7 linked regions of the Macaca fascicularis genome follow. Each later gene encodes a partner of the first gene's protein in a complex. Links are inferred from orthologs where the notes say so. Each region holds a gene or a part of one and is shown in the gene's direction. Other genes may lie near its edges.

Region 1 (4,042 bases):
AGAGGTTACAGTGAACTGAGATTGCACCACTGCACTCCAGTCTGGGTGACAGAGCGAGACTCCATCTAAAAGAAAAAAACAAAACAAAACAAAACAAAATAAAAAAACAGTGCAGGTTTATTATCTGTGGTCCTGTAGGTCAGGAGTCTAAAATAAGTTTCACTAAGTTGAAGTCAGGGTGTCAGCCCGGAGGGTTCCTTCTAGGGGAGTCAAGGGATAATCCATTCCCTTGTCTTTCCAGCTTCTAGGGGTCACTGGCACCCCTTAGCTCGTGGCCCTCCCTCTGTGTGCGGAGCCAGCTGCATAGCACCCTCAGAGCTCTCTCTGACCCTGCTTCTGTCTCATATCTGGCCTCTGTTTTTGTTCCCCCCTCTATGTTAAGGGCCCTTGTGGCTATACTGAGCCTACTCAGATGGTCCAGGATAGTCTTCCCAGCTCACAATCCTTAATATCCTTCTTAATCTCTTCACGTCCCTTTTGCCCTGTGAGGTGACATTCAGAGGTTCTGGGAATTAGAACATGGACCTCCTTGGGCATGTGTGTGTTGGTGGGGGTATAATTTGTCTTCCGCACCAGGATCTGTCCCCGCTGCAACAGGGGATGTTATTCAAGTAATTATTCAGTTACTTTCTGTCTTCCTTGGTAGACGTACTCGGGAGAGGAGACACATTTTCTGTCTTGTGAACTGTCGTTTGCCAAGCACCCAGCCTGGCCTGGCGTTCAAGTGTTCCGTGTCCCCCTCTTCTCCTTTCCCTCTCCCCATCTCACCCCTGGTCTGGGTGTGGGGGTGCAGCTGTGAGTAGCACAGACAGGAGCCCTGCCCCGTGGCAGGGACATTCTTGTTGGGGCCGGGTCGAGGAGACAGTCAACAGGTGAAATCTGTCCTGCGTCTAGCGGTGCTAAGTCAACACTAAGAAGAAAAAGAAAGGGGGTTGGGGTGGGGGCGACATTAGGTGCTGATTTACCTGGGATGTCAGGGAGGACTTAGAGCCCTGAGGAGGTGAGGGTTTAACTGGGACGTCAGGGAAGACCCAGGGCTCTGAGGAGCTGAGGGTTTAACCCAGACCTGAGTGAAGCCAAGGAGCAAGGCACATGGATACTCGGGAGAAGAGTCTTCCAAGCAGGGGGAATGACCGATGCAAAGGCCCTGAGGCTAGAGCGCAGCGAGCCCTGGAGGAGAGAGGGGAGGCCCTGGCGGAATCCAGGCGCAGGCAGCATGGAGGCTGCGCATCCCGGGGCGAACGTTGGCTGCAGTGGAGGGGCTGAAGGGGGCCAATTTGGTATTGGTTCTGAAGGAGTCGTCCCCGGGGACCTGCGGCGTGGGAGAGAAACAGTGGAGTCAGCTGCCCGGCTCTCGGGCATTGCCGTTTGCTTGTACCGGGAGAAGGAAGGCAGATGGTGGAAGGCTGGGGAGGAGGACCAGAAATTCTGTTTAGCCCTGTTATACCTTTGAAGGGCCTGTTAACGATCCCAATGTCAAGGAGACAGTTGTTTACAGGGTACAGAACCCAGAGGAAGGCTGGGCATGATGGCTCACGCCTGTAATCCCAGCACTTTGGGAGGCCGAAGCGGGCAGATCACGAGGTCAGGAGTTAGAGACCAGCCTGGCCAACATGGTAAAATCCCGTCTCTACTGAAAATACAAAAAATTAGCCGGGCGTGGTGGTGGGTGCCTGTAGTCCCAGCTACTCGAGAGGCTGAGGCAGGAGAATCCCTCGAACCCAGGAGGCGGAGCTTGCAGTGAGCGGAGACCATGCCACTGCACTCCAGCCTGGGCGACAGAACAAGACTGTATCTTAAAAAAAAAAATCCCAGAGGAGAGGTATGAGCCGAGATGAGGCCATCCGGTTGTTGACAGAACTGAAAACCCAGAGCCCCGGAGCAGGGACGGAGCCCTGGCGTGGGCGGTCTGTCTGCCCCGGAGCGGGGAGGGAGCACTGGCGTGGGCGGTCTGTCTGCTCGGGGGACAGGCGGACGGGGGACAGGCGGACGGCGGACAGAGGAGCCCTGGCGTGGGCAGTCTGTCTGCTCGGTGGACAGGCGGACGGCTGACAGAGGAGGTCTGGGTGGGCGGCGCACGTGAGCAGCTGCAGGACCTCCCCCTCGCCCTCCCCAGGTGGGCTACGAACTGAAGGATGAGATCGAGCGCAAATTTGACAAGTGGCAGGAGCCCCCCCCCGTGAAGCAGGTGAAGCCACTGCCTGCGCCCCTGGATGGGCAGCGGAAGAAGCGAGGCGGCCGCAGGTGAGAGGCCCGGGGGTCCAGTAGGCGTGGGGGTCATGGAGAGGAGAGGCCAGCGTCCTCCTCCCAGCTGACTCCCTGGCACCGCCCGCCCATCCGTCCCCAGGTACCGCAAGATGAAGGAGCGGCTGGGGCTGACAGAGATCCGGAAGCAGGCCAACCGGATGAGTTTCGGAGAGGTCAGACTCCCCCAGCGCCCTCCTCACCCCCACAGGCAGCCAGCCGCCACCGCCCTCTGCCTCCTGCCACCGTCCCTCCTCTCGTCCTGTGGCCCTGGCTCATGTCTAGGGTGCTGTACCAGCCTCTTCCCTCATCCCCCAGCCTCTACTCTCATTTCCATCCATTCAGCCCCAAAGTGACCCTTGTAACCCTGGGAGCCTGTGTCTCCCGCGCTTAGAGCCCTGCAGCTTCCCATCGCCCCGGGCTCCTTGGCTGGTTCCTCCCTGCCCAGAGGCTCCGCAGTGCCCTGCTGCACCGCCGCCCGCTCCCGGGCCCCGCCAGTCTCCTCTGTTATCCCAACGTCATCCGCTTGGTCCTGCAAGACCCAACTCAGAGGCCACCTCATCCTATGAAACCTGTTCTGGTTCCTGACACCCCCCAATCCACACGAGGAAGGAAGGAATGGCCTCTCGACTCAGCTCACAGAGCAGTGCTAGGACCCAGCCCCTCTCAGGCTCCCCAGCATCCCCCGCTTGTGGGGGCCCTCAGGCCTCAGCCGGGCCAAGTGGGTACCTGAGCAGGTGCCCGTGGGACCAGCCGGCTGGTGACTGCTAGGCTTCCAGCTGGTCGAGGGGGTGCCTCAGTGGCTGGAGGGCAGGGCCTGGTCACTGAATTGCAGGGTGCCTCCCCTTCCTCCTAGATTGAGGAGGACGCCTACCAGGAGGACCTGGGATTCAGCCTGGGCCACCTGGGCAAGTCGGGCAGTGGGCGCGTGCGGCAGACGCAGGTCAACGAGGCCACCAAGGCGAGGATCTCCAAGACGCTGCAGGTATGGGCCAGACCTGGGTGGGGCTGGGGACCGAGACACAGGGTGGGGGGAGCCCAGATCGCAGCCTCCCTGTCCTCCCCACAGCGGACCCTGCAGAAGCAGAGCGTTGTGTACGGCGGGAAGTCCACCATCCGCGACCGCTCCTCGGGCACGGCCTCCAGCGTGGCCTTCACCCCACTCCAGGTACCTGCCCTGGGCCGGCTCTGTCCCCAGCCCCAACACCTTGGCAAGGCCCCTTGCCCTCTGCCCCTGTGAAGCCGGCCAGGATGAGTCCCCTCACGGGGCTGTCGTGGAGGGCGTGGTGACGAGGTATTCAGAGGACGTAGACAGCTCCTGGCACACAGGAAGAAGTTAGCAGAGACGAGACGCCAGTGCTGAGCAGTCCTCATGAGCACGGACCGCTTTAGAACCAGGCCCACAGCTGTGTCCAGGGCATCCAGTTCCTCTCTGTGGGGCTGTGAGCTGGTTACACTGCTCAGCCTCCAGGCCTTCCAGTTGAAAATGGCCAGGGCGGTTAAGGTAACCTCAGGACCCCACTCGAGAAAGTTCCCGGCTAGGTGAGCTTGGATGTCACGTGTGGGTCCAGGCCCCAGCCAGTCAGCAGTGAGTGGCGTCGAGCATGGCAGTCACCGCATCGTCGGAGCCTCGGTTTACCATCCACAGAGCAGGGCGAGCCTGCACGTGGGGCCGAGACAGCAGCGAGCTCATTTGCTCAGTCCGCGGATGTCTGTGGAGCACCTACTGAGTTCCATCGGTGTTCCCAGCTCTGGGAATGAAGCGATGAATGAGAGAGACAAGTTTTACCTTCAGGGA
Region 2 (4,042 bases), on another chromosome or scaffold:
ATTTTTTGTATTTTCAGTAGAGACGGGGTTTCACCATGTTACCCAAGATGGTCTTGATCTCCTGACCTCGTGATCTGCCCGCCTCAGCCTCCCAAAGTGCTGGGATTACAGGCATGAGCCACTGCACCCGGCCAGTGCTCTCTGTGTTTTGAGTTGTCTTCCTTAGAGATGCCTGAGTTTATTACGTTTAGCAGAAGCCCTTCTAGCTGACTCCCTGAATAGATGACCTTGTTTAAGGAAGAAATGTGTTCATGGTAAGCACAGTGCTGGTCAGGAAGGATCTGTGGGGATACTGCATTTTTATTTAGGGTCTGCTTGGTCCTCCTCTTCCCAGTTTTGTTTTGCTTTTTTGAGATGGAATTTCGCTCTTTTTGCCCTGACTGGAGTGCAATGGAGCGATCTCGGCTTACTGCAACCTCTGCCCCCGCCGGGTGATTCTCCTGCCTCAGCCTCCCGAGAGGCTGGAATTACAGGCACTCACCACCATGCCCAGCTAATTTTGTATTTTTAGTAGAGACGGGGTTTCACCGTGTTGGCCTGGCAGGTCTCAAACTCCTGACCTCAAATGATCCACCCGCCTTGGCCTCCCAAAGTGCTAGGATTGTGGACATGAACCACCACACCCAGACCCTGCCTCCCAGTTTTGTAGCTCAGGCTAATGAGCCTGTGTTTCTTCCTGAAACCAATATGGCTAATTTTTATCTTTCTGCTTAATGAGATCCATTTTGCTTTTATTGTCCTAAACCTTTTGACCATTTTCTCTTTTTCTTTTCTTTTTTTTTCTTTTTTTTTTTGAGATGGAGTTTTGCTGTCGTTGTCCAGGCTGGAGTGCAGTGGTGCCATTTTGGCTCACTGCAACTTCTGCCTCCTGGGTTCAAGTGATTTTCTCTTGCCTCAGCCTCCCGAGCAGCAGGGATTACAGGCACCTGCCACCACGCCTGGCTAATTTTTGTATTTTTGGTAGAGAGGGGGTTTCACCATGTTGGCCAGGCTGGTCTTGAACTCCTGACCTCAGGTGATCCTCCCGCCTCGGCCTCCCAAAGTGCTGGGATCACAGGCATGAGCCACCTCGCCTGGCCGACCATTTTCCATCATAACAGTATATTTACTTTTTAAAAAAAATTTTGGCTGGGCACGGTGGCTCAGGCATGAGAATTGCTTGAAGCCTGGAGGCAGAGGTTGCAGTGAGCTGAAATCATGCCGCTGCACTCCAGCCTGGGGGATGGAGCAAGACTCTGTCTCCAAAAATAAAAAAAAATTTCAATAAGTTTTTGTGGAACAGGTGGTTTTTGGTTACATGAATAAGTTATTTAGTGGTGATTTCTGAGATTTTGGTCACTCATCGCCCGAGCAGTGTATACTGTACCCGATGTGTAGTCTTTTATCCCTCACCCCTCCTCACACTCTTTCCCCCAAGTCCCCAAAGGTCGTTGTATCATTCTTACTCCTTTGCGTCCTCACAGCTCCCTATATTTACTTTTATGTACAATTATATGGTTTTATTATGGGAAAACATCAAATTTTAAGATAATTTTCATATTATTTTAGTGTGGAGTTGAGAGATGGGAGAACTGTGTTTCCTAGGTAGTTATTTGTGCTTCAGCCAAAATGGATGATTAAGGAAAGGGTATTTGGATTTTACCTTTCTACTCTATGAATTTAAGTATTGTCACAGCATAATTAGAGTAACAAAAGGAAATTGTTGAGTAAGTTGATAGAGATTTGAATACCTGTGGGTTTTTTTTTTGTTTTGTTTTAACCTTCTTTGTGGTATCCACATCAGCAAAGTGTCTGTAGAACTGTAGGTCATATGAAACTCAATATTAATGATATTTCTGTAATGTGAGCCTGGGTAGGATTCTCCAAGGGTCGATTTACTTTGGCTCTTTAAGGCCATCACAGGCACATCACAAGATTCTGTTAGAACTTTAGTTGGAAGAGCTTGGCTCAAGGGGTCCTACAAAGGGGCTTTGGGTTAATCGGAGTGTTTGATTTTCAGGCTCTATCTAATGTTCCTCCTCTCCGGAACTACTTTCTGGAAGAAGACAATTATAAGAACATTAAGCGTCCTCCAGGGGATATCATGTTCTTGTTGGTCCAGCGTTTTGGAGAGCTGATGAGAAAGCTTTGGAACCCTCGAAATTTCAAAGCACATGTGTCTCCCCATGAGATGCTTCAGGCGGTTGTACTTTGCAGTAAGAAGACTTTTCAGATCACCAAACAAGGTAAGAACAAGTCATTTATGTTTCAGGACAACAAAACTAGTTTGATGAACAAATTTATTTCTACTTGGCAGTGAATTTTTTTTAAATTAATTAATTTTATTTTATTTTTTTGAGATGGAGTCTCACTCTGTCACCCAGACTGGAGTACAATGGCATGGTCTCGGCTCACTGCAGCCTCCGCCTCCAGGGTTCAAGTGATTCTCCCACCTCAGCCTCCCGAGTAGCTGGGACTACAGGCACGTGCCACCATGCCCGGCTTATTTTTGTATTTTTAGCAGAGACGGGGTTTCACTATGTTGGCCAGGCTGATCTCGAACTCCTGACCTCGTGATCCACCCTACTCGACCTCCCAAGTTCTGGGATTACAGGCATGAGCCACTGCGCCTGGCCTTTTTTTGTTTTGTTTTGTTTTGTTTTTTTAAGAGACAGAGTCTTGCTCTTTTGACTAGGCTGGAGTACAGTGGTGGGATTTGTAGCTCACTGCAGCCTTGAACTTCTGGACTGAAGGGATCCTCTTGCCTCAGCTTCAGGTAGCTGTGATTATAGGCGTGAGCCACTGTACCCAGCTGCAGTGAATCTTGAGAGTAGCCAGGAGTGTCCAGTGGATTGTGTGGTTAGGTTCCTCATTCTCCTCTGACCAGTCTGCCCTGCTAAGAGTCCCAGGAGATTGTAGCTGAATAGAAAGTCGGTCTTATTTGGTAAATTAAACTGTATGGCTTAGGGGAATACCAGGAGACTGGGAAAGACACTAGCTTTTATTAAACACCTGTCACCTATCCTCATTTTTTCATGTCCCGCATTAGGATATTCTGATGATTTTTTTTTTTTTTTTTTTTTGAGACCGAGTCTTACTCCATTGCCCAGGCTGGAGTGCAGTGTTATGATCTGTGCTCACTGCAACCTCTGCCTCCCGGGTTCAAGGGATTCTCCTGCCTCAGCCTCCCAAGTAGTTGGGATTACAGATGCCCGCCAACGTGCCAAGCTAATTTTTGTATTTTTAGTAGAGAGGGGGTTTCACCATGTTGGCCAGGCTGGTCTTGAACTCCTGACCTCAAGTGATTCACCCACTTTGGCCTCCCAGAGTGCTGGGATTATGGGTGTGAGCCACTGCACCCAGCCTCTGATGAACTATTTTGACTGTTTTTATCTCTCCAGACCCAATGTGTTATTGCCTTATGAGTAAGGCGGACAGTGTAACTTTGTACCTGAATCTCATATCATATCGTCTAGCATCCATATTAGTTTGTTCAACATTCACTCATGGTGCTAGGTTTTAGAGCAGCAGGGATAAAATACAAGATTTTTCTCTTTGAAGAACTCACAGTCTAGTGGGGAAATAAAGTTATGTAGAAAGATTGAGTGTGCTGGCACAAGCCTGTGGTCTGAGCTGCTTGGGAGGCTGAGGCAGGTTGCGTGAGCCCAGGAGTTCAAGGCTACAGTGAGCTATGATCACACCACTGCACTCCAGCTGGGTAACGGAGGAAGACCCTGTCTTTAAAAATAAGTAAGCAGGCTGGGCGCGGTAGCTCACGCCTGTAATCCCAGCACTTTGGGAGGCCGAGGCGGGTAGATCACAAGGTCAGGAGATCGAGATCATCCTGGCTAACACGGTGAAACCCCGTCTCTACTAAAAATAGAAAAATTAGCCGGGCGTGGTGGCGGGCACCTATAGTCCCAGCTACTTGGGATGCTGAGGCAGGAGAATAACGTGAACCCAGGAGGCGGAGCTTGCAATGAGCTGAGATTGCGCCACTGTACTCCAGCCTGGGTGACAGAGCTAGACTCCGTCTCAAAAAAAAAAAAAAATTAGTAAGCAA
Region 3 (3,216 bases), on another chromosome or scaffold:
CAAAAATTAGCTGGCCGTGGTGGCCGGTGCCTGTAATTGCAGCTACTTGGGAGGCTGAGGCAGGAGAATCGCTTGAATCCGGGAGGCGGAGGTTACAGTGAGCCGAGGTCACACCATTGCACTCCAGCCTGGGCGACAGTGCGAGACTGTTTCTCAAAAACAAAAGGTCTCTTCCTATTCTCTCTGATCTCTTCAGACCAGTCTTTATAGGTAATTGCTATTAATAGTTTTTCTTCTGAAGGAGCAATAAAAAAAAAAAAATTAAAAAAAAGGTTTTCATGTATCCTTCTGCCTTATCCCAGATTCTTCAATTTATGCATACAAATTAGATGATAATAACCATAGTATTTGTTTCTCTGTTTAATAAGTTCCCACCTGCATATTATCTTTTTTTTAAATCAATTTTTTTTTTTTTTGAGACGGAGTCTCGCTGTGTCTCCCAGGCTGGAGTGCAGTGGTGTGATCTCGGCTCACTGCAAGCTCCGCCTCCCGGGTTCATGCCATTCTCCCGCCTCAGCCTCCGAGTAGCTGGGACTACAGGCACCCGCCACAACGCCCGGCTAGTTTTTTGTATTTTTAGTAGAGACGGGGTTTCACCATGTTAGCCAGGATGGTCTCGATCTCCTGACCTCGTGATCCACCCGCCTCGGCCTCCCAAGTGCTGGGATTACAGGCTTGAGCCACTGTGCCCGGCCAATTTTTTTTTTTTTTTTTAGAGACAGGGTCTTGCTCTGTTGCCCAGGCTGGCGTGCAGCGGTGCAGTCATAGCTCACTGCAGCCTTGAACTCCTAGGGACAAGCAATTCTCCAGTCTCAGCTTCTCAAGTATCTGAGACCTCAGGTCCACACCACTGTGCCTGGCTAATTTTTAGAAATGCAGTCTCACTATGTTGCCTAGGCTTGTCTCGAACTCTTAGCCTTGACTGATCCTCCCATCTCAGCCTCCCAGAGTGCTGGGATTATAGGCATGAGCTACTGCGCCCATATCTTCACATATCTCAGCCCCCTCATCTCTTTTCAATTTTCTTCTATTTATCTCCGAAGAGTACTTACTGAAAAAGTCGCGGCTTCTTAGAGAACCAGTATTAATGTTGTAGGAATTTAGTTTTCAGGAATTGTCTTTCATATTCAGAAATAAGCCAAGTTCTGCTCCAGCCTCCTTATTGGAGTCTACTCCCTGAAAGCCTCTTGAGGTAGTGCTTTATGACTGCCATTGCTGCTGGTGCCTTTGGCAAGAATGCCGTTCTACCCAGTACTGTCTTTTTTTGTTGTAATTCTCTGCTGGTACCTGCTCTTCTTCTGTTCCCCACCCGGAGTTGTTCTTTGTTGCTGGGCCCCAAAGCCTTCTGCTTGTATAAATAGTTTTTTGGGCCTTTTTGAAGGCCCAAATTTAGTCCTGAAGGCCTGGTGGGAGATAAGTTTATCTCATTCCACCTTCCATAGTTCTTCCTGACTTGCTGTTCCACCCAGGCACCAGAGCAAAGAATTCCTCATCCTCATTTCAAAAATCTAAAAACCTTATACATATGAATTCATAAAAACTCATACAAATATCCAAGGAAATGGAGGTCACAGTTTTTTTTTTTTAACCATAAAATCACGTTCAGCTGGGCACATGTCTCACAAATGTTACTAGGTCTTTTTTTTTTTTTTTTTTTTTGAGACGGAGTCTCGCTCTGTCGCCCAGGCTGGAGTGCAGTGGCCGGATCTCAGCTCACTGCAAGCTCCGCCTCCCGGGTTCACGCCATTCTCTTGCCTCAGCCCCCCGAGTAGCTGGGACTACAGGCGCCCGCCACCTCGCCCGGCTAGTTTTTTTTGTATTTTTTAGTAGAGACGGAGTTTCACCGGGTTAGCCAGGATGGTCTCGATCTCCTGACCTCATGATCCACCCGTGTCGGCCTCCCAAAGTGCTGGGATTACAGGCTTGAGCCACCACGCCCGGCCTACTAGGTCTTATAAAAGAATATTATATCTGATTTAAATAAGAAATTGAAGTGTTTTTATTACATATCTCTTTCCTAGGGTACAGCCAAAGACCGGAGCTTTGGAGAGATGAAGTTTAAACAGTGTCCTACAGAGAACATGGCTCGTGAGCATTTCAAAAAGCATGGGGCTGAACACTACTGGGACCTTGCGCTGAGTGAATCTGTGTTAGAGTCCACTGATTGAGACTACTGCAAGCCCTTGCCTCTCCCCCCCTTGCCTTTGTCTCTTCAGTCCTCTCACTTATTCTATTTCCCAACCCACTCCCACTTGTTGTGTGATCTCAGAACTGTGCCAAGCAGACACTGGGACAAAGGGAGAATATCTTGCTCCCCTCCCGAGTCAGCCTGGTGTTGCCCTTTATTCCCCTTATGTGCATATGATTAAAGAGTTATTTTTAAACTTGGTGTGATATTTTTCACACATTCCTAAGTACTAGAGTTTGGGTCTCCAGGTGATCTTTTTTCCAGACTTTTAGCAATTGCTGTAGAAAAAAAATTTTTTGTCATTGACATTTATTTATATATATAAATGGATGAATGGATGGATGGATAGATGGATGTGTATTTTTGAAGTCTAGTGGAAATGTCTGATCTCATCCTGGAGCTAGAATGAGAAATACTGTTTTCCTGGAGCAGAATGAAGCAGGGAGATGTGTAAAGTGGTAAGGGAGAGAGGAGGGACAAATGAGTATCCATCCCTTAACTGAGAGAATCACCAGGTCAGACAGATTACCTCAGGACTTGGCTAAGTAGTCTTTCCAGGAAATCAGTTCCTCTAAGGGGTGCATATGTGGGAATGTGTGTTGTGGGTAAAAAGGACACAGGGAGAGTCCAAGGAGGATGCTATGGGTCAGTTTGTAAAGTGGAATAGGATTTAAGAATTTAGCCCATTTTGTCTCTTTTACTAGTTTAAAAATTCACTTCTAGTAGAAATTGTGTAATTTTTTTTTTCTATCTATGAATCCGACTACCTGTGGTTGGTTTTATTTCAGCATTTAATGTTTCTGGTTTGATTTTAGGAGTATATGAGTCAGCATAAGTTATCTATTGAAGTCCAAAATTTTTACCATACCTATCCTTCTGTTTCATATTGCCTGTGTTGGGAATGGATTAAACAAGTCAATAGAGCTCCCATACCTTCTTGCTAGGTGGAGCATGCTATGAATTGGTATTTGAGAATGGATGTCTGACAAGAAGTTAAAACATTCTGTGTTATAAAATTCCCTTTAAAA
Region 4 (4,588 bases), about 59 Mb from region 1:
TGGCTTTCCTCCTCCTTCCAAATGTCTGGGGTCTCTAGGTCCCTGGCCTCAGAATAGGGGGAGTCCAGGGGGCTGACAGGGCAGCTGGGGGTGGAGGTGCGGTTCGCAGAAAGCTTCTGAGGGGGCCCTCCAGCCTTGCAGAGACCACGGGCATTTCAGGGTAAGAGAAAAGACTAGACAACGAAGCTCCTGCAATGAGCTGCAGGCTTCCCTGGCGCCAGGTCACAACTGGACGGCACGTTCATCCAGATGCGACATGGACTGACATACTTTGAAAGGGTCACTCCTGCTGTGTCGAGGATGGACTAGGGATGTGGGGGACAAAGGCAGCCACAGCAGGGGGATGGCGGTGGGGCTGGAAGAGTGGAGACTAAGAAGGAGCCCAGTGGCAGCGACGCCTTAAGAGAACTCTGAGAGAGGAGTGAAGGTTAAGGGCCGCATTTGTGAGGCTGCTCCGGGTTCCATTCCCTGAGCCACCAAACTCAGGTAAGAGGTAAGATTTGGAATTAAGAAAATAAAAGATGCAGTTACGACAGTGCCATCTCGTAGACTGTCCCCGCTAGAACCTGACACTCTACATCAAAGGATACACAATGAATATAAGGAAGGCGTGCTGTCCCTAGGCGCTGGTCACCCTGGGTAGCATCTCCAGAATCCACACCATAGTCGACCCCCCTTCTCCAGACGAGCAACTGACGCTCAAAGCAGGGAATTCCCTCGTCCAAGGTCACGGAGTAAAAGATGGAGCGGGAATACGACCCCAGTGCAGGGCTGGGCTCTTGGCCGCTCCAGGATGCTGGCCAGTCACTGGGGGACACGCGGGACGCCTCTGGGTTCCCCCACCGCACCCCCTAGGGTGAGGTTAGCTTAGCACCGGGCCATTCCGCCTAAAGGGAAACTGAGGCTCGGAGCGGGGTGGGCGGCCGCCTGCCCAAGGCCACAGAGCGGGAGAGAGGCGTCCCCCGCGGCGGCTGGAGACCCCGAAACGGACAAGCAGAACAGGGAGATGGAGGGGGCACAAACTTCAGGCCCGGTGGGAAGTGAGGGGCGCTGCAGCGGCGGAGGGCCTCCGAGGCGGGGAAGGGAGAGAAGCCGGGGACAGCCCCGCAAGGTCACGGCCGGGCCCCGGCACCGCCGGCCGACAACGAGGGGACCGCGGATCCCCGAGGCTGGACCCCCAAGACGGGCCAAGAGGGGTCGTTCCTGCGCGTAGCCTCGGGGCCGAGAGGCCGAAGGGCCGCAGCCTGCGGTGCCGTCGGGACCGGTGCCGCGCTCACCTGGGCCGCGAGGAGCAGAAAGGCCGCCACAAGCCGCGCCAGCGCAGCCGCCGCCACCGCCGCCATCTCGGCCGGTGCCCGCCGCAACCGTCGGCAGATGTTTCCCAGCAACGCCCCGAGACCCCGGGCCACGCATGCGCCGCGCATGCGCGTGGGGGGGAGGGGAGAGGTCACAGGGCACGGGGCGGTGTCTGCGAAGAGCCTCACGGCGCGACAAGATGGCGGTGAGCGCGCGGCAGAATCCGGAGCCGGGGGGCGTGGGGCTCGGGCCGCGCTCCAGGCCTCATGCGCTCTGCTTTCCCCGCAGGATAAGGAGAAGAAGAAAAAGGAGAGCATCTTGGACTTGTCCAAGTACATCGACAAGACGATCCGGGTGAAGTTTCAGGGAGGACGCGAAGGTGAGGCGGCTCCCGCCGTTGGCACCCCCCCTTTAAAATTTTAAAATAAAGTCAGCAACAGAGGTGATGAGGATGCATGCAGAGGCGCCTCTTTTATTTATTTTTATTTATGTATTTATTTTGAGACGCAGTCTCGCTCCGTCGCCCAGTCTGGAGTGCAAGTGGTGCGATCTCAGCTCACTGCAACCTCCGCCTCCCGGGTTCAAGCGATTCTCCTGCCTCAGCCTCCTGCGTGGCTGGGGCTACAGGCGCCACCACTCCTGGCTAATTTTTGTATTTCTAGTAGAGACGGGGTTTCACCATGTTGGCCAGGCTGGTCTCAAGCTTCTGACCTCAAGTGATTCGCCCGTCTCGGCCTCCCAAAGTGCTGGGATGACAGGCGTGAGCCGCCGCAGAGGCGCCTCTTTACACGCTTGACGCCGACTACCTTGTGCAGGCTTCCGAATTACGCCGGGAGGTAGGAACTGGTATGGCCATGTTGCAGGCGGGGAAACTGGGGCAAGGAGCGGGAAACAAACGTAATCCAAAGTCACAGTGGCGCAGCCGGTATTGGGATTTCCGGCTTGGCCTCCAGAGCAGTCCTGTGTGTCCAAGGACTGCCCCAGATCCCCACAGATCTCCCGGCTTCTCCTCTTCCTCCCTCTAAGTCAAGGTCTTTCCCGCACAGCAGTGTGGACACATTTGGGGCCGGATTCTCTGGAGTGGGGCCGTCCTGGGGCACTGCAGGGTGCTGAGCAGCATCCCTGGCCTCCACCAAGTTGTGACAACCTAAATAGCCTCAGACATTGCTTAGTGTTCTCTGGGGATAGGATCGCCCCCCGACCCCCAAGCTGTGATTGGGAATCACAGCTACTAAGGTCAGTCTCCACTCAGCGGCCAGAGGCACCTAATGAAAAAGAAATGGAGGCTTCTTGCTCCCTGCTGAAAACCTCTGAGGCTCCCGGTTGTTTTGGAGTAAAATCCGAATCCATACTTCTGATTATGACTGCAAAGGGCGGCAGAAGCACAAGTTCCACAGGTGCTTGCTCTGGGAAGCCCTCCCTGACCCTGGCGTCAGGCCCCCCATCGTTCTAGGATCCTGGTAGCACCTGTCACCGTTTGCGGTTTCGTGCATGTTAACCTGATGCTTGCCTCTGCCTGCAACTCTTCCATGGAATCTAGTGAAGACAGGGCGAGCTCTCAGAGGGCAGGAAGCATTCGCATGGGCAGTGGGCTGGTGATGCATGCTGCAGCTCTTGGCGGGACGCAGGGACTCACGCCTGTAACCCCAGCACTTTGGGAGGCTGAGGCAGGCGGATCATATGATCAGGAGATCGAGACCAGCCTGACCAACATGGGGTTTCGTGAAACCCCATCTCTACGAAAAATACAAAAAAATTAGCTGGGCGTGGTGGTGCACACCTGTAATCCCAACAACTCAGGAGGCTGAGGCAGGAGAATCTCTTGAACCCAGGAGGCAGAGGTTGCAGTGAGCTGAGATCGCGCCACTGCACTCCAGTCTGGGAGACAGAGCGAGACTCCGTCTAAAAATAAATAAATCACACACACGCACACACACAGCAGAGAAAGGGTTTGCTCCCTGAAGGACTCACCTGATATGGTCAGGCTCACCCAGGGTGTTTCCCTCTAGATTGGCTCAAAGTCAGCTGGTTCAGGGGCTTAAACAGCTGCATAACCTAAGTGCAGGAGTGACGTCATGTCCCCTCAGAGTCACAGGCCCGAGCCCACACCCCGGGGAGGGGAACCTTGGTTAGAGACCTACCTACCTCAGTGCTCACATCTGTCCCTGTGAGGAGGGCTGGCTCACTGGTCAGGCTGGTGCCAAGGACCTGAACCGTTGCGTCTGACCCCATCTCATAGGTGACAGGTTTCATTTTGCAGGGGAGGGACTTGAGCGCAGAGAGAGGGAGCCGTGGAGGTAGGAGCTAAAGCCTGTATGCAGGTGGGCAGACCTTCTCTGTAGAAGGCCAGACAGCAAATATCTTCAGCTTTGCAGCCCAGATGGTCTCTTGTCACAACCAGTGAGCTATGCCCGCAGAGCAGGAGAGCCGCCCTGGTCAGTGCCTGAGCGGGCGAGTGTGCTGGTGGGCCAGTGAAACTTTGGCATACAGAGATGAGCGGTGGGCCACTTTCGCCTCTGGTCGTAGTTCGCAGCGCAGAACGGCCATGGACAGGCTCACAGCCCTGCCTTGGGAGAAGATAGGCGGGCAGAATAATGCCTGGGGTGCCTGCTTCCTGAGATTGGTGGGGGGCATGCAGAGGGCAGCACCCTAAGGGGTGTGGGTTGGTGTCTGGAGGAAGCACCTGAAAGATGACAGGGGTAAGAAGGAGGGTAGGGAGCGGGTGGCTGAGGGACGCCCCTCAGTGAGCGCAGAGGCGGAACCGCTCCTGGGCCTGGGCTGGAGGAGCCTGGGGGGAGAGGACGGGAGTCCCGGACAGGGAGGGTGGGCTGGCCTCTGCTGAGGACACACAGCTCCCCCTTCATCCTTCTCAGTGTCACCAGACACTGCGGAGCAGGATCAGATGGCAGAGGTCACCACCGGGTCAGAGAGCCCTAACCCAAGGTGCCAAGTTGTGACCTAAGGCGGCGAGGCTTGGGGGGTGGGGCAGGCAGCGTGGAGAGAGAAGCCACAGCAACCGCCTCAGCCCCCAAAGCCTTTGCACCCGGGTCTCAGAGCATCTCTCTTGCCCGCTCCCCGCAAGCCCTGAGCTGCAGGGCTGGGATTTGTTCTTCTGTATTCCGTGAACTCACTGAGGGACCTAGCACAGGTCAGGCAGCGCAGTCACCACCGCTGTCCCAGCAGAGCACTCCGTCTCCCCTAGAGGAAGCCCTGTCCCCATCAGCTGTCACTGCCTGTCGCCTCCCCGGCACCCACACATCCCCTCCCTGTCTCTGTGGATTGGCCTGTCCTG
Region 5 (4,042 bases), on another chromosome or scaffold:
CCTGGCTTTTAAGATCCCCAGATTAGATAGACCATGTTATGTATATGGTTGACACTAACACCCTGGTCCGGAATGAGCCTTAAATGAGGAATCTGGAAACTAGCTCTGTTTGTTATTTATTCATTCAATAAGTAGTAACTGAGTATCTATACACGAGATACCGTGCCTGGGCATTTTTCAACGATAAACTTAAACCATAGCCATTGCCTTCAAATAGCACACAAGCCAGTGGAGGAGAGAATACTGGACAAGTAGACATCCTGCTACATAATGCTAGGCTGGCAAAAGAGATGTTCAAGCTGCCGTCAGAGCACAGAGGATAGACAGAGTTGGGGGAGGGAAGCAGTGACAGAGTTTCCGGTGAATATAATTATACCTATCTCCTCTTATGTTTTTGTAGCTGGTGAAGAGTGATTGAACTAGTGGTCGTGGCCGTGATTGAAAAGTTTTCATTCCTTCATGCCACAGACTCTTTTGGAATCCTCATTACGCGCCAGATGCTGTGCTTAAACTGAGATTTGTATTATAAGACCTAAAGTTATTGAATGAATGTTTTTCCTGGTTTTTCTTTCACTATATGCAAGTAAGAGTGCCAGTAGGCACTCAAATATTTGTTGAAATAATGAATGGTAAAATAATATTTTTTCCCTCCTCAGAACTTGTGGACAAATGTATAGGATCAAGAATTCACATTGTGATGAAGAGTGATAAGGAAATTGTTGGTACTCTTCTAGGATTTGATGACTTTGTCAGTATCCTTTTAAAAGGTGGTGGTGGTGGTATAGGTTTTTCTTAAGTATTTAATAACGTAAGAACTATAGACAATCAGTATATTTGTGATTATTATAATAAAATCAGTTCATTTTCAGGGAACTTATGATAATGTTTTAAGAGGTATGTATTGAAAGACGGTAAAGTTCCTATCAACAACAAACATTTTGAATTTGAGCCGTTGTGTTAAACATTATAATTAAAACTGAACAAGCGAGCCCAGTGGCTTACACCTGTAATCCCAGCGCTTTGGGAGGGCAAGGTGGGTGGATCGCTTGAGCCCAGGAGTTTGAGACCAGCCTGGGCAACATGATGAAACCCTGTCTCCACAAACATTACAAAAATTAGCTGGGCATGGTGACGTACACCTGTGGGCCCAGCTAATCTCTGGGACCGAGGCAGGAGGATCCTTTAAGCCCAAAAGGTGGAGGCTGCAGTGAGGTGTGAGTGTACCACTGCACTTAAGCTGGGATAACACAGCGAGACTTTGTCTCAAAAGAAAAGAAAAGAAAAGCTGAACAAAGGCAGAAGCTGGAGTAAATTCTCTATTTGTTTTCTTAACACCAAATTTCAGATATGGTACTGGAAGATGTCACTGAGTTGTGAGTAGTGTTAAAGAATTGGGGGGGAATCTCTTCTTAATTAAAGACAGTTTTACTACTTTTGAGTAAAATTATTTATGAGAAAACATTACCTGTTGGTAGAATAACCTTAAAGATAGAAGTTTTATCTGTTTGCTTGTAAAATTGGATCAGTGTTATTACCTTAATTTAATTATTAGTAAACTCCTAGACAATTAGTGGAGACAGTTTTAAGGTAGAAGATAAAAGAGCTAGGAATTTTAGGGTTCAGGTCAAATCAAGGAACTGATAGTAAGAGCATTTAGACTGGACATGGTGGCTCACCCCTGTAATCCCAGCATTTTGGAAGGCCTAATGAGGAGGATAGAGCCTGGGAGTTTGAGACCAGCCTGGCCAACAAAGGGAGACCCCTGTCTCTATAAAAAATTTAAAAATTAGCTGGGTATGGTGGGGGGCAGCTGTGGTCCTAGCTGCTCTGGAGGGTGAGGATCCCGTGAACCAGGAGTTCTAGGCTGCAGTGAGCTATGATTGTACCACTGTACTCAGCCTGGGCAATAGAGCAAGACCCTGTCTCTTAAAAAAAAAACAAAACCCAAAAAACATTTCATTTCATATTTGATTTCTTGGGCAAGCTTTGGCTTCTTTTTATGAAGCTCTGTCTGACAGATGTGGATCTTAGGTCAGTGAGTTCATTCTGTTGCTTTTAATGAAGGTTACATTACCTAGTGGATAACCTTTGTAACTGAAAATTGTCGATATAATTGCCCAACCTCAGAGTAATTTGTATACAAGGATCACCTTTTTAGGGAGGGAAAGTATTTCCAAAATGTTGGCTTTGATTTTCACTGTTTATCCTGACTGTATTTTATCTATTCATTTAGTGAAATCACACCAGAAGGAAGAAGGATTACTAAATTAGATCAGATTTTGCTAAATGGAAATAATATAACAATGGTAAGACACATTGAAACTGTTTTGTTTAGATGGGAGCCCATTTTTCTGGGGCAGTGATTATAGAACTAACCTTAATGTTGCTTGCTTAACTAAATGATCATGGCCCAGTGGTGCGTAAGATGGGAAGGGTGTTCTCTGTGGTCAGGGCCCTAAAGCTCAGCTATTGAAGAGGCATTGGGTCTAAAGGTTAGTTTGCTTCGAATTTTTAATCGCTGTTGAGATAGTAAGTATTAATTGATGATGTTGGAAATTGTGAATAGATATTGACAATCTGGAGAAAATGGGAATGTGGAGCGCAGAGGACAGGCAAAGGTGGCTTAAGGAAGAGCAAGGGATTTTTAGATGACATGGTTGTTGTGTTACTAATAAACTCTTTTTCCTCTTTATGCAGCTGGTTCCTGGAGGAGAAGGACCTGAAGTGTGAATGAGTTTTCTTGACTTAGCTAGATTCTGTTTTGTCTTTTAATGACAAGAAAATGGAATTTTTTTCCCCCACCTTCTAATGTTTAAATCCCGTAAAGCTAAGTTTCCCGTTAAAGGGAAGTGCTTTGAAGATGTGTACCCATTTTTGTAAGTTAATCATGATTATCCTGGAAAAAGAAGAAAAGAGCTTCTTCTTTGAAGACGAAAATAAAGGTGTTTTTGGTTAATTGTCATTTTATTTATTGTACTGCAGTAGCCAGTGGAACAAAGATTGTGGTTATTTTGCCACTTACTTTTCTGTCATTATATGCTTATTTGCTTTCTCATTTACATGACCATTTGATTCTCAAACAAAAGTCGTTCCAGACAAAATGATGAACTTTGATTTGAACAGGTGCATTTAAACAACTGGAAATGATCACTTAGAAAATTAAATTAAAATGCTGTTGTTTTGTAATGAGGATTTTTCTACTGATTTCAAATTCCATGAACAACTATTGAAAACAAACAATATACAGGTAATATATGCACATTGTAGAAATGCGGGAATTATCTATTGGAATTTCCCTAAAGATACAAATTTTATCTATTTGTTTATAAAATTGGTTCAGAGGGTTATTACCTTAATGTAATTATTACTGAATTGCCAGGAAATTAGTGGAGACAGAGCTTTAAGGTAAAGGATACTAAAAACAGCTAAGAACTCTGGGACTCAGGTAAAATCAAGGAACTGATAATAAGATCATAGAACTGTATAAATTAAGTCAAAGAACTATTAAAAACAAACAGGTAATATACACACATCGTAGGATTATAAGTAAGCAAAAAGGAGAAGGTTGATCATGCTTTGCTGTATGTCTTCATAGACTTTCTCAGTCCACTCTCAGTACACATTTTATTTTACTTGTTCATCCTGATTTTTTATTCTCCACTTAAGCCATTTTTTGAATTTAAATGGTGAATATCTTTCCATGTCAAATATTTCAACATTAATGTATACATAATATTAAATGGATTTACTATAAATTATTTAGCCTATTCTTACCACAGTAGTCTAACTAGATCTTTATACATTTTTATTTTTCTAGAATAAACTAAAAAATGTGTAAGATCAAAGGGTGTATATTGTGTTGCCAAGAAAAACTTTGTGCCAAAAAAAAACTTTGTGCCAGGTGTCTTTCATAGTACTATTTATATCCTTCCCAACATTAGCTGTGTTCTACCTTCTCTCCTCTTTGCCATTTTTACAGGCAAAACCTGGCATGTCTAAAAATTTTCTTTTCCTTTTTTTTTTTTGGAGACAGAGTCTCGCT
Region 6 (4,042 bases), on another chromosome or scaffold:
ATGATGTAAGTGGAGCATTGAGCTCACTCAGGCTGCGCTTTCTGGGAGCAGAAGGCCGTCCGGAGCCCCAGGATACCGTTCTGTGCACAGCTGCCAGGCAGGGTGGTGAGAGGCTTCCGCTAGTTTTGCTGTTAATGGAAGTGCAGAGAGAATCTTAGCTCGTACCTGACCACTGCAGAAAGTTCTCTCAGGCGCCATTTCCTCTCCTTCAGCCCAGAGTTTGTCATGGGAGCCGAAGGTGGGAGGGTGATAGAAAACACTGCTTTCTGCCAGCCCCGCGTGACTGCTCTTTGCCTCCAAGCTAAGTGGGATTTCTTTGGTTTTAGGCATTCCAGTTCACAGCATTCTGTGCAGTGATTTTTAGTCTTGGTTTTATGATACCTAGTATGTCTTCAATTATCCTAAGGGGTATTGTGAAATTCTCCAAACAACATTAATCTTGTTTTATTTACATAAAAATGAATAAAGCCCATACACATCTTAGGGATGGAGTGCTGCAGAGCCAAGAGTCTGGGAACTCCAGGAGGCTGAACACCCTTCCGTGTGTTTAGCCCATGAGGGCAGTAGCCTCATCCTGCCCATCTGTGCCAGCCCCTGGTATCAGGTCTGGCGCTCTGTGTGCCTGGAGGCAGTGTTTGTTTGTGGAGGCAGTGTTTGTGGAGGCAGTGTTTGTGGAGGCATGTTTGTGGAGTCAGTGTTTGTTTGTGGAGGCAGTGTTTGTTTGTGGAGGCAGTGTTTGTGGAGGCATGTTTGTGGAGTCAGTGTTTGTTTGTGGAGGCAGTGTTTGTTTGTGGAGGCAGTGTTTGTGGAGGCATGTTTGTGGAGTCAGTGTTTGTTTGTGGAGGCAGTGTTTGTTTGTGGAAGCAGTGTTTGTTTGTGGAGGCAGTGTTTGTGGAGGCATGTTTGTGGAGGCAGTGTTTGTTTGTGGAGGCAGTGTTTGTGGAGGCAGTGTTTGTTTGTGGAAGCAGTGTTTGTGGAGACATGTTTGTTTGTGGAGACATGTTTGTTTGTGGAGACATGTTTTTTTGTTTGTTTGTGAACATTCCACTGAGAATCTTTTCCTGCTCACCAGAGTCACTAAGTCAGTCAGAAGCATCAGTGAGCAGTTGGTCAGGTGAGATGTGCTGCTGTGGACGCTTCTCAGGCCGTGTTCAAATGGCTCTCGAGAGCTAAGAAAGAGCGTTGTGGCCGTGCTGCAGGGTGGGTCGCTGTCTGGCCTGCATCTGTCCCCTCAGCACAGTGTCCTCTCCTTTTTCTGGTGTCCTCTCCGCGTAGCTCTGGCTTGCTCTGGCAAGGCTGGAGACCTATGAAAATGCCCGCAAGGTCTTGAACAAGGCGCGAGAGAACATTCCTACAGACCGGCACATCTGGATCACGGCCGCTAAGCTGGAGGAAGCCAATGGGAACACACAGATGGTGGAGAAGATCATTGACCGAGCCATCACCTCGCTGCGGGCCAACGGTGTGGAGATCAACCGCGAGCAGTGGATCCAGGTGGGCCGCAGGCGGGTGTCGTGGTGTCGGCTTTAACAGTGTACGTGCCGCACGTGGGAGTCCCACGCAGGACTGGGGGCTGCTGAATGGTGCTGGGGAGTCCTGCGCCCAACCGGAAGCAGGCACAGGTGTGGCTGGGCCCTGAGCGACCTGGGCAAGGCCACTGTCACTCTTGATGGATTCAGGCCTTGAGTTCGTCTTGGGGTGAATGCTTCGGAAGCCCTTTCAGTGTGTGCACACCTGACTGCATTTCTTTGCTAGTAGAAATGATACATCTGAGAGTCTCATGGCTTCTTCCACTCTTCCCCTCTCCCCCACACCCTTTTTTTTTGAGATCGAGTCTCGCTCGTCACCCAGGCTGGAGTGCAGTGGCCACCTTGGCTCACTGCAAGCTCCGCCTCCCGGGTTCACACCATTCTCCTGCCTCAGCCTCCCGAGTAGCTGGGACTACAGGTGTCTGCCACCATGCCTGGCTAATTTTTTGTATTTTTAGTAGAGATGGGGTTTCACCGTATTAGCCAGGATGGTCTTGATCTCCTGACCTCGTGATCCGCCCACCTTGGCCTCCCAGAGTGCTGGGATTACAGGCCTGAGCCACCGCACCGGGCCAACACCCTTTTTTTTTTTTTTTTTTTGAGAGGGAGTCTCGCTCTGTCACCCAGGCTAGAGTGCAGTGGCGTGATCTTGGCTCACTGCAACCTCCACCTCCTGGGTTCAATTCTCCTACCTCAGCCACCTGAGTAGCTGGGATTATAGGCACCTGCCACCATGCCCAGCTAATTTTTGTATTTTTAGTAGAGACAAGGTTTCACCATGTTGGCCAGGTTTGTCTCGAACTCCTAACCTCAAGCAATCTGCCCGCCTTGGTTTTCCCTGTCTTTTAACTGTGTCTCTAGACTTAAGGCTATAGAAAAGTCTCCAGAGGTCATCTAACTCAGGAAGTAAGACTTGGGTTCCCTTTATTACCTTCTTTTTAGGAGTCACCCTCTGAGTTATGTTTCTCTCCAGAAAAATAAATAATGAAATTATTATTTCTGTTTTATTTTATGACAGTCCTTCCTTCCTCCTTCCCTTCCTTCCTTCCTTCATTCCTTTCCTTCTTTTTTTTTTTTTTTTTTTAGTTCTTTTTTTTTTTTTTTAAGGAGACAGGGTCTTGCCGTGTTGCTCAGGCCGGAGTGCAGTGGTGCATTCATGGCTCACTGCATCCTTGATCTCCTGGGCTCAAGCGATCTTCCCGCCTTAACCTCTCAAGTGGCTGGAACTACAGGCATGTGCTACCATGCTTGGCCAATTTTTTAATTTTTATTTTTTGTCTTGTTATGCTGCCCAGGCTGGTCTTAAACTCCTGGCCTTCAGGGATCCTACCACTTCAGTCTCCTAAAGTGTTGAGATTACGGGCATCAGCTGCCATGCCCAGCCTGTGACAGTTTATTAAGCTATGATTAGCGTTCTATAGAATCCACCCATTGAAAGTTTACAATTCAGTGGTGTTTAGTATATTCACAGAGCTGTCCATCTGTCACCACAATCTTAGAACGTTCTCATCACCCCAGAAAGAAGTCCTGTGTCCGTGAGTTGTTGCTCCCCGTTTACTCACTTCTGTAGCCTTTTGTTTGTTTGTTTGTTTTCTGAGACAGGGTCTGTCTGTCTCCCAGGCTGGAGTGTGTGGGACAATCAGTCTTGGCTCTCTGCCACATTTGCTTCCTGGGCTCAAGCAGTTCTGCCTCAGCCTCCTGAGTAGTTGGGACTACAGGTGTGCACCACCACACTTGGCTAATTTTTTTCTGTCTTTTGTAGAGACGTGGTTTCGCCATGTTGTTCGGGCTGGTCTCAAACTCCTGAGCTCAGATGATCCACCTGCCTCGGCCTCCCAAAGTGCTGGGATTACAAGTGTGAGCCACTGTGCCTGTCTAACCTTGCTTTTTTACTTTGTCTATACGTTTTGTTTCTGGACATTTTATATACAGATGTTCAACTTATGGGCTTATATCCTGATAAACCCATTGTAAGTTGAAAATATCGTAAGTCTAAAATGCGTTTGAGGCTGGGTGCTGTGGCTCACACCTATAATCTTAGCACATTGCAGGGCTGAGGCAGGCGGATCACTTGAGGTCAGGAGTTTGAGACCAGCCTGGCCAACATGGTGAAAGCCTGTCTCTACTAAAAATACAAAAAAATTAGCCAGGCATGATGGTGGGCACCTGTAATCCCAGCTACTCAGGAGGCTGAGGCAGGAGAATCGCTTGAACTCGGCGGACGCAGAGGTTGCAGTAAGCCGAGATCGTAACACTGTACTCCAGCCTAGGCGACAGAGCTAGACTGTCTCAAAAAATAAATAAAATAAAATAAAATAAAAATGTGTGTGATACACCTAACCTGCTATACTTTGTGGCTTAGCCTATCTACTGGGTTAAACATACTCAGAACACCTACCTTAGCCTACAGTTGGGCAAAGTCATTGAACATAAAGTGTTGAATAACTCATGTAATTTATTGAATGCTGCGATGAAAGTGAAAAACAGGGTGGTGGTTTGAGTCTAAGTATTGC
Region 7 (3,098 bases), on another chromosome or scaffold:
GGCTGTACCATAGTTTGTTTTTACTTTTAACCAGTTTCCTGTTAATGGACATTTAGGTGTTGACCAGTTTTTTGCCACTGTAAACAACTCTTTTACTTTGACATATATTGTGAACAGTTGACCAAGCATCTCTTTAGAATCAATTCCCTGAGCTAGGATTTACAAGTCAGAGAGTATTCCATGGCCCTGCTTCAGAGAACCTGGGTTTATCCTTCATGTTCTCACCAACTCTTGTATTAGCTTTTTTTCATCTTTTCCAGTCTAATCGGCAACAAGTAATATCTCATTCTACATATATTTTATTTGTTTACTAGTGAGATTCAGCAGTCTTTCACATGGATAGTAACCATAATTTTTTTTCCTCTTATGAATGTCTGTTTGTGGCCTTTATACGATTAAAACAAAATGTTCTATACTATTAGATAGCCTTACTAAAAGAACGTGCTTATTTTGTGGTTTACAAAACACCAAAAAAAAAAAAAACCCAAAACAAAACACAACATACAAGAAAAACCTCCAACTCTCTGTAGCAGTTTCTGTGTAAGAAAATGTCTTGTTTTGGTTATGTATAGGAGGTTATCTCATGGAGAAGGAAACGGTTATATTTCTAACCCCCTGGGCAGTTTTTTTTGTTTGTTTGTTTTTTGTTTTGTTTTTTGTTTTTTGCCTTTGCTGTGAGAACAGATACTTTAATTAGAAGTGAACTTTTTTTTTTTCTTTTTTTTTTTGAGACCAAGTCTCACTCTGTCACCCAGGCTGGAGTACAGTGGCTCAGTCTTGGCTCACTGCAGCCTCTGCCTCCCAAGTTCAAATGATTCTTCTGCCTCAGCCTCCCGAGTGGCTAGTGTTACAGGCACCCGCCACCACGCCCGACTAATGTTTGTATTTTTAGTAGAGACGGGGTTTCGCCATGTTAGCCAGGCTGATCTTGAACTCCTGACCTCAAGTGATCTGCCTGCCTCTGTGTCCCAAAGTACTGGGATTACAGGCGTGAGCCACTGTGCCCAGCCTGGACATTTCATTTTGAAATTCTTTTCATTAGTTTTCGAACAGGTTTGCATATTGTGCCTCAGAAGTTTCTTGCTCATTTATAATTGTGGCTTATATGTAAAATAATACAGCAGGAAATGAGCTAAAGTTATAGCTTAAGCTTTCTTTGGCTAGGAAATAATTTTATTATTCACAGTCCATTCTGGTTCTTTGAGAGTTTACCGCTTTTAGCAGAATTCTGGTAGATTAATGTCTTATGCTGTCATTACACACACAATTTTGAAAGGAAACTTTTTTGTTTAGAGGATAATGGGGGCAGAGGCAGAGAGTGAGGAGCATATTAATGAAGTTAAGACATCAAATGAGAAACTTATAGACTCGACTAATTGAATCTAGTATTTGTTTTTACTTAAATTTTTTTTTCTAGAAAATACCACTTGAAATTAGAGACAGAGTTAGAGGCTTGCAGATTTTCATCTTTTGAAAAAGATCATTAGGTCAAATTTTACAAAATTTATACCATCTTAACACAATTAAAGATTCACTCAAACTGTTTCCTTGAAAGCTCCCTCAAATGTTTTTGGCCATTTTCTCTATTAGTTTTGATTGGAAAATATTATAGCTGTAACAAAACAGAACAAGATGTGTTATAATGCAATATGTTGCCCTATATTCTCAAGCTGCTCTTCACTGTGAGTCACAGCTTTAAGATGTTCTTTCGGGAGCACCTGCTGTCTCCTCTTCTATTATTTTAACAGATTGTGGAGACTTCCTTTTAACCCTGGAGTACATTCATCTGCTGCAATAGATGTTGTAAAAGGATGAAATAAATCTGCCAGACCCGTATTTCACTTAGTGGCTGAAGTAGGAAATGCCACTGGAACCAAGGATCATTTGTTCATGCATAATTGCCCACCTTGTGCTTAGCTTTCACAGAATGGTATTTTTGTTGGATTAGTCTTATTCTCTTACTTTTTTGAATGCTTTAAAAGTTGCTATGTGGTCATACATACCGTGAGGGAAGTGACAGTTTGTTGTTTTACTGGGTAGTAGTGGGTGCGTGACTGCCTTCCTAGTCTTCATTCAGATTGGCCTAGAGTTGTTTTGTGCTTAAGCTGTTGAGTTTCATTTAGGGTATGAATTTTTTTATTAAGCATCTAAGAGCTAATGAATAAAGAGATTGTCTGCTCTAAGGTATACCCTGTAATTTTCAACTCCTACTTGCCTTGTATTTCTTCTTTTTGACTAAATATGTCTACAGGGGTCCTGGCTTGCTTGGATGGCTACATGAATATAGCCCTGGAGCAGACAGAAGAATATGTAAATGGACAACTGAAGAATAAGTATGGGGATGCATTTATCCGAGGAAACAATGGTAACATTTCTTCACCCTACAGTACAGCATTCATTCAAAATAAGCCTTTCTGTTTATAATCCAGATCACCAAAGAGTTTACTAGATAATTTAAAAGTCCAGTTTTAGGCTTGATTATTTTAAAATGCTTATATGTCAGTTTGACCAGTTATTTTTTTAGATACATCATGGAATTTTTAAACTAAAATTCCCTCCTTCCCTTCCTTTAGTGATGAGGAACTGGGGGCATTGTTCTCCTGACCCGGAACCCTGCTCTCTTGAATATAGTGTATTATTATCTCCCCAACACATATTCCTGCTTCTTGTAGCCTGGAAGTTGCAGCTGTAAGAATGGGCACCATTTCCCTGCTGTCTTTAATTTGCATAATTTGGCAGTTTGTCCTATTTGTCCCTTCTCTATTAAACATTCAGATGCTTTCTGTGCAGATTTGCATCCTTTGATTTGGCAAAAATGGCAAAATAGAAAAAATAAAGTTACTCAGTTTTTTAACAACTAATAAATTGCTATGATTTTTATAGTTATTTTTAAGTACCTAGTTTCAAAATGAAAATTATGATAAAGTCACATTTGTATTTTTGGTGGGGAGGGAAAAATAACAGAATTACGAGAATTACCCTACTTCTTGGTTCCATCTCCCAAATGAAACTCTGGGATTCTTGAGTTCAGATTTTTTGTTGATTTCTTTAATTCTGGATGTCTTCAACCCCCTAAATAGTTGGATCTCTTTGATATA

The links.
Region 2: PRPF31 (region 1) and USP39 share a complex: the UniProt entries of both Homo sapiens proteins name them as parts of the U4/U6-U5 tri-snRNP complex. The link is inferred for Macaca fascicularis from reciprocal best matches to the Homo sapiens genes PRPF31 and USP39.
Region 3: PRPF31 (region 1) and PRPF3 share a complex: the UniProt entries of both Homo sapiens proteins name them as parts of the U4/U6-U5 tri-snRNP complex. The link is inferred for Macaca fascicularis from reciprocal best matches to the Homo sapiens genes PRPF31 and PRPF3.
Region 4: PRPF31 (region 1) and LSM7 share a complex: the UniProt entries of both Homo sapiens proteins name them as parts of the U4/U6-U5 tri-snRNP complex. The link is inferred for Macaca fascicularis from reciprocal best matches to the Homo sapiens genes PRPF31 and LSM7.
Region 5: PRPF31 (region 1) and LSM5 share a complex: the UniProt entries of both Homo sapiens proteins name them as parts of the U4/U6-U5 tri-snRNP complex. The link is inferred for Macaca fascicularis from reciprocal best matches to the Homo sapiens genes PRPF31 and LSM5.
Region 6: PRPF31 (region 1) and PRPF6 share a complex: the UniProt entries of both Homo sapiens proteins name them as parts of the U4/U6-U5 tri-snRNP complex. The link is inferred for Macaca fascicularis from reciprocal best matches to the Homo sapiens genes PRPF31 and PRPF6.
Region 7: PRPF31 (region 1) and LSM6 share a complex: the UniProt entries of both Homo sapiens proteins name them as parts of the U4/U6-U5 tri-snRNP complex. The link is inferred for Macaca fascicularis from reciprocal best matches to the Homo sapiens genes PRPF31 and LSM6.

Annotation. Positions count from the first base shown.
Region 1 is NC_088393.1:61,930,312-61,934,353, forward strand, and holds part of PRPF31 (U4/U6 small nuclear ribonucleoprotein Prp31), read left to right. Parts: exon of another isoform or gene 1-65; intron 66-652; exon of another isoform or gene 653-910; intron 911-1,066; exon of another isoform or gene 1,067-1,317; intron 1,318-2,116; coding exon 2,117-2,244; intron 2,245-2,347; coding exon 2,348-2,420; intron 2,421-3,100; coding exon 3,101-3,229; intron 3,230-3,313; coding exon 3,314-3,412; intron 3,413-4,042. UniProt on the Homo sapiens protein: Involved in pre-mRNA splicing as component of the spliceosome. Required for the assembly of the U4/U5/U6 tri-snRNP complex, one of the building blocks of the spliceosome.
Region 2 is NC_088387.1:35,955,903-35,959,944, reverse strand, and holds part of USP39 (ubiquitin carboxyl-terminal hydrolase 39), read left to right. Parts: intron 1-1,999; coding exon 2,000-2,225; intron 2,226-4,042.
Region 3 is NC_088375.1:110,908,414-110,911,629, reverse strand, and holds the end of PRPF3 (U4/U6 small nuclear ribonucleoprotein Prp3), read left to right. Parts: intron 1-2,021; coding exon 2,022-2,168; 3' UTR 2,169-2,384; downstream 2,385-3,216. UniProt on the Homo sapiens protein: Plays a role in pre-mRNA splicing as component of the U4/U6-U5 tri-snRNP complex that is involved in spliceosome assembly, and as component of the precatalytic spliceosome (spliceosome B complex).
Region 4 is NC_088393.1:2,987,815-2,992,402, reverse strand, and holds the start of LSM7 (U6 snRNA-associated Sm-like protein LSm7), read left to right. Parts: upstream 1-1,463; 5' UTR 1,464-1,495; coding exon 1,496-1,501; intron 1,502-1,584; coding exon 1,585-1,675; intron 1,676-4,588. Other genes in the region: SPPL2B (signal peptide peptidase-like 2B), read right to left, coding at 1,278-1,343. UniProt on the Homo sapiens protein: Plays a role in pre-mRNA splicing as component of the U4/U6-U5 tri-snRNP complex that is involved in spliceosome assembly, and as component of the precatalytic spliceosome (spliceosome B complex).
Region 5 is NC_088377.1:97,820,192-97,824,233, forward strand, and holds the end of LSM5 (U6 snRNA-associated Sm-like protein LSm5), read left to right. Parts: intron 1-400; exon of another isoform or gene 401-577; coding exon of another isoform or gene 578-656; coding exon 657-752; intron 753-1,345; coding exon 1,346-1,373; intron 1,374-2,233; coding exon 2,234-2,306; intron 2,307-2,697; coding exon 2,698-2,730; 3' UTR 2,731-3,186; downstream 3,187-4,042. UniProt on the Homo sapiens protein: Plays a role in pre-mRNA splicing as component of the U4/U6-U5 tri-snRNP complex that is involved in spliceosome assembly, and as component of the precatalytic spliceosome (spliceosome B complex).
Region 6 is NC_088384.1:120,149,346-120,153,387, forward strand, and holds part of PRPF6 (pre-mRNA-processing factor 6), read left to right. Parts: intron 1-1,275; coding exon 1,276-1,494; intron 1,495-4,042. UniProt on the Homo sapiens protein: Involved in pre-mRNA splicing as component of the U4/U6-U5 tri-snRNP complex, one of the building blocks of the spliceosome.
Region 7 is NC_088379.1:151,041,272-151,044,369, forward strand, and holds part of LSM6 (U6 snRNA-associated Sm-like protein LSm6), read left to right. Parts: intron 1-2,251; coding exon 2,252-2,365; intron 2,366-3,098. UniProt on the Homo sapiens protein: Plays a role in pre-mRNA splicing as component of the U4/U6-U5 tri-snRNP complex that is involved in spliceosome assembly, and as component of the precatalytic spliceosome (spliceosome B complex).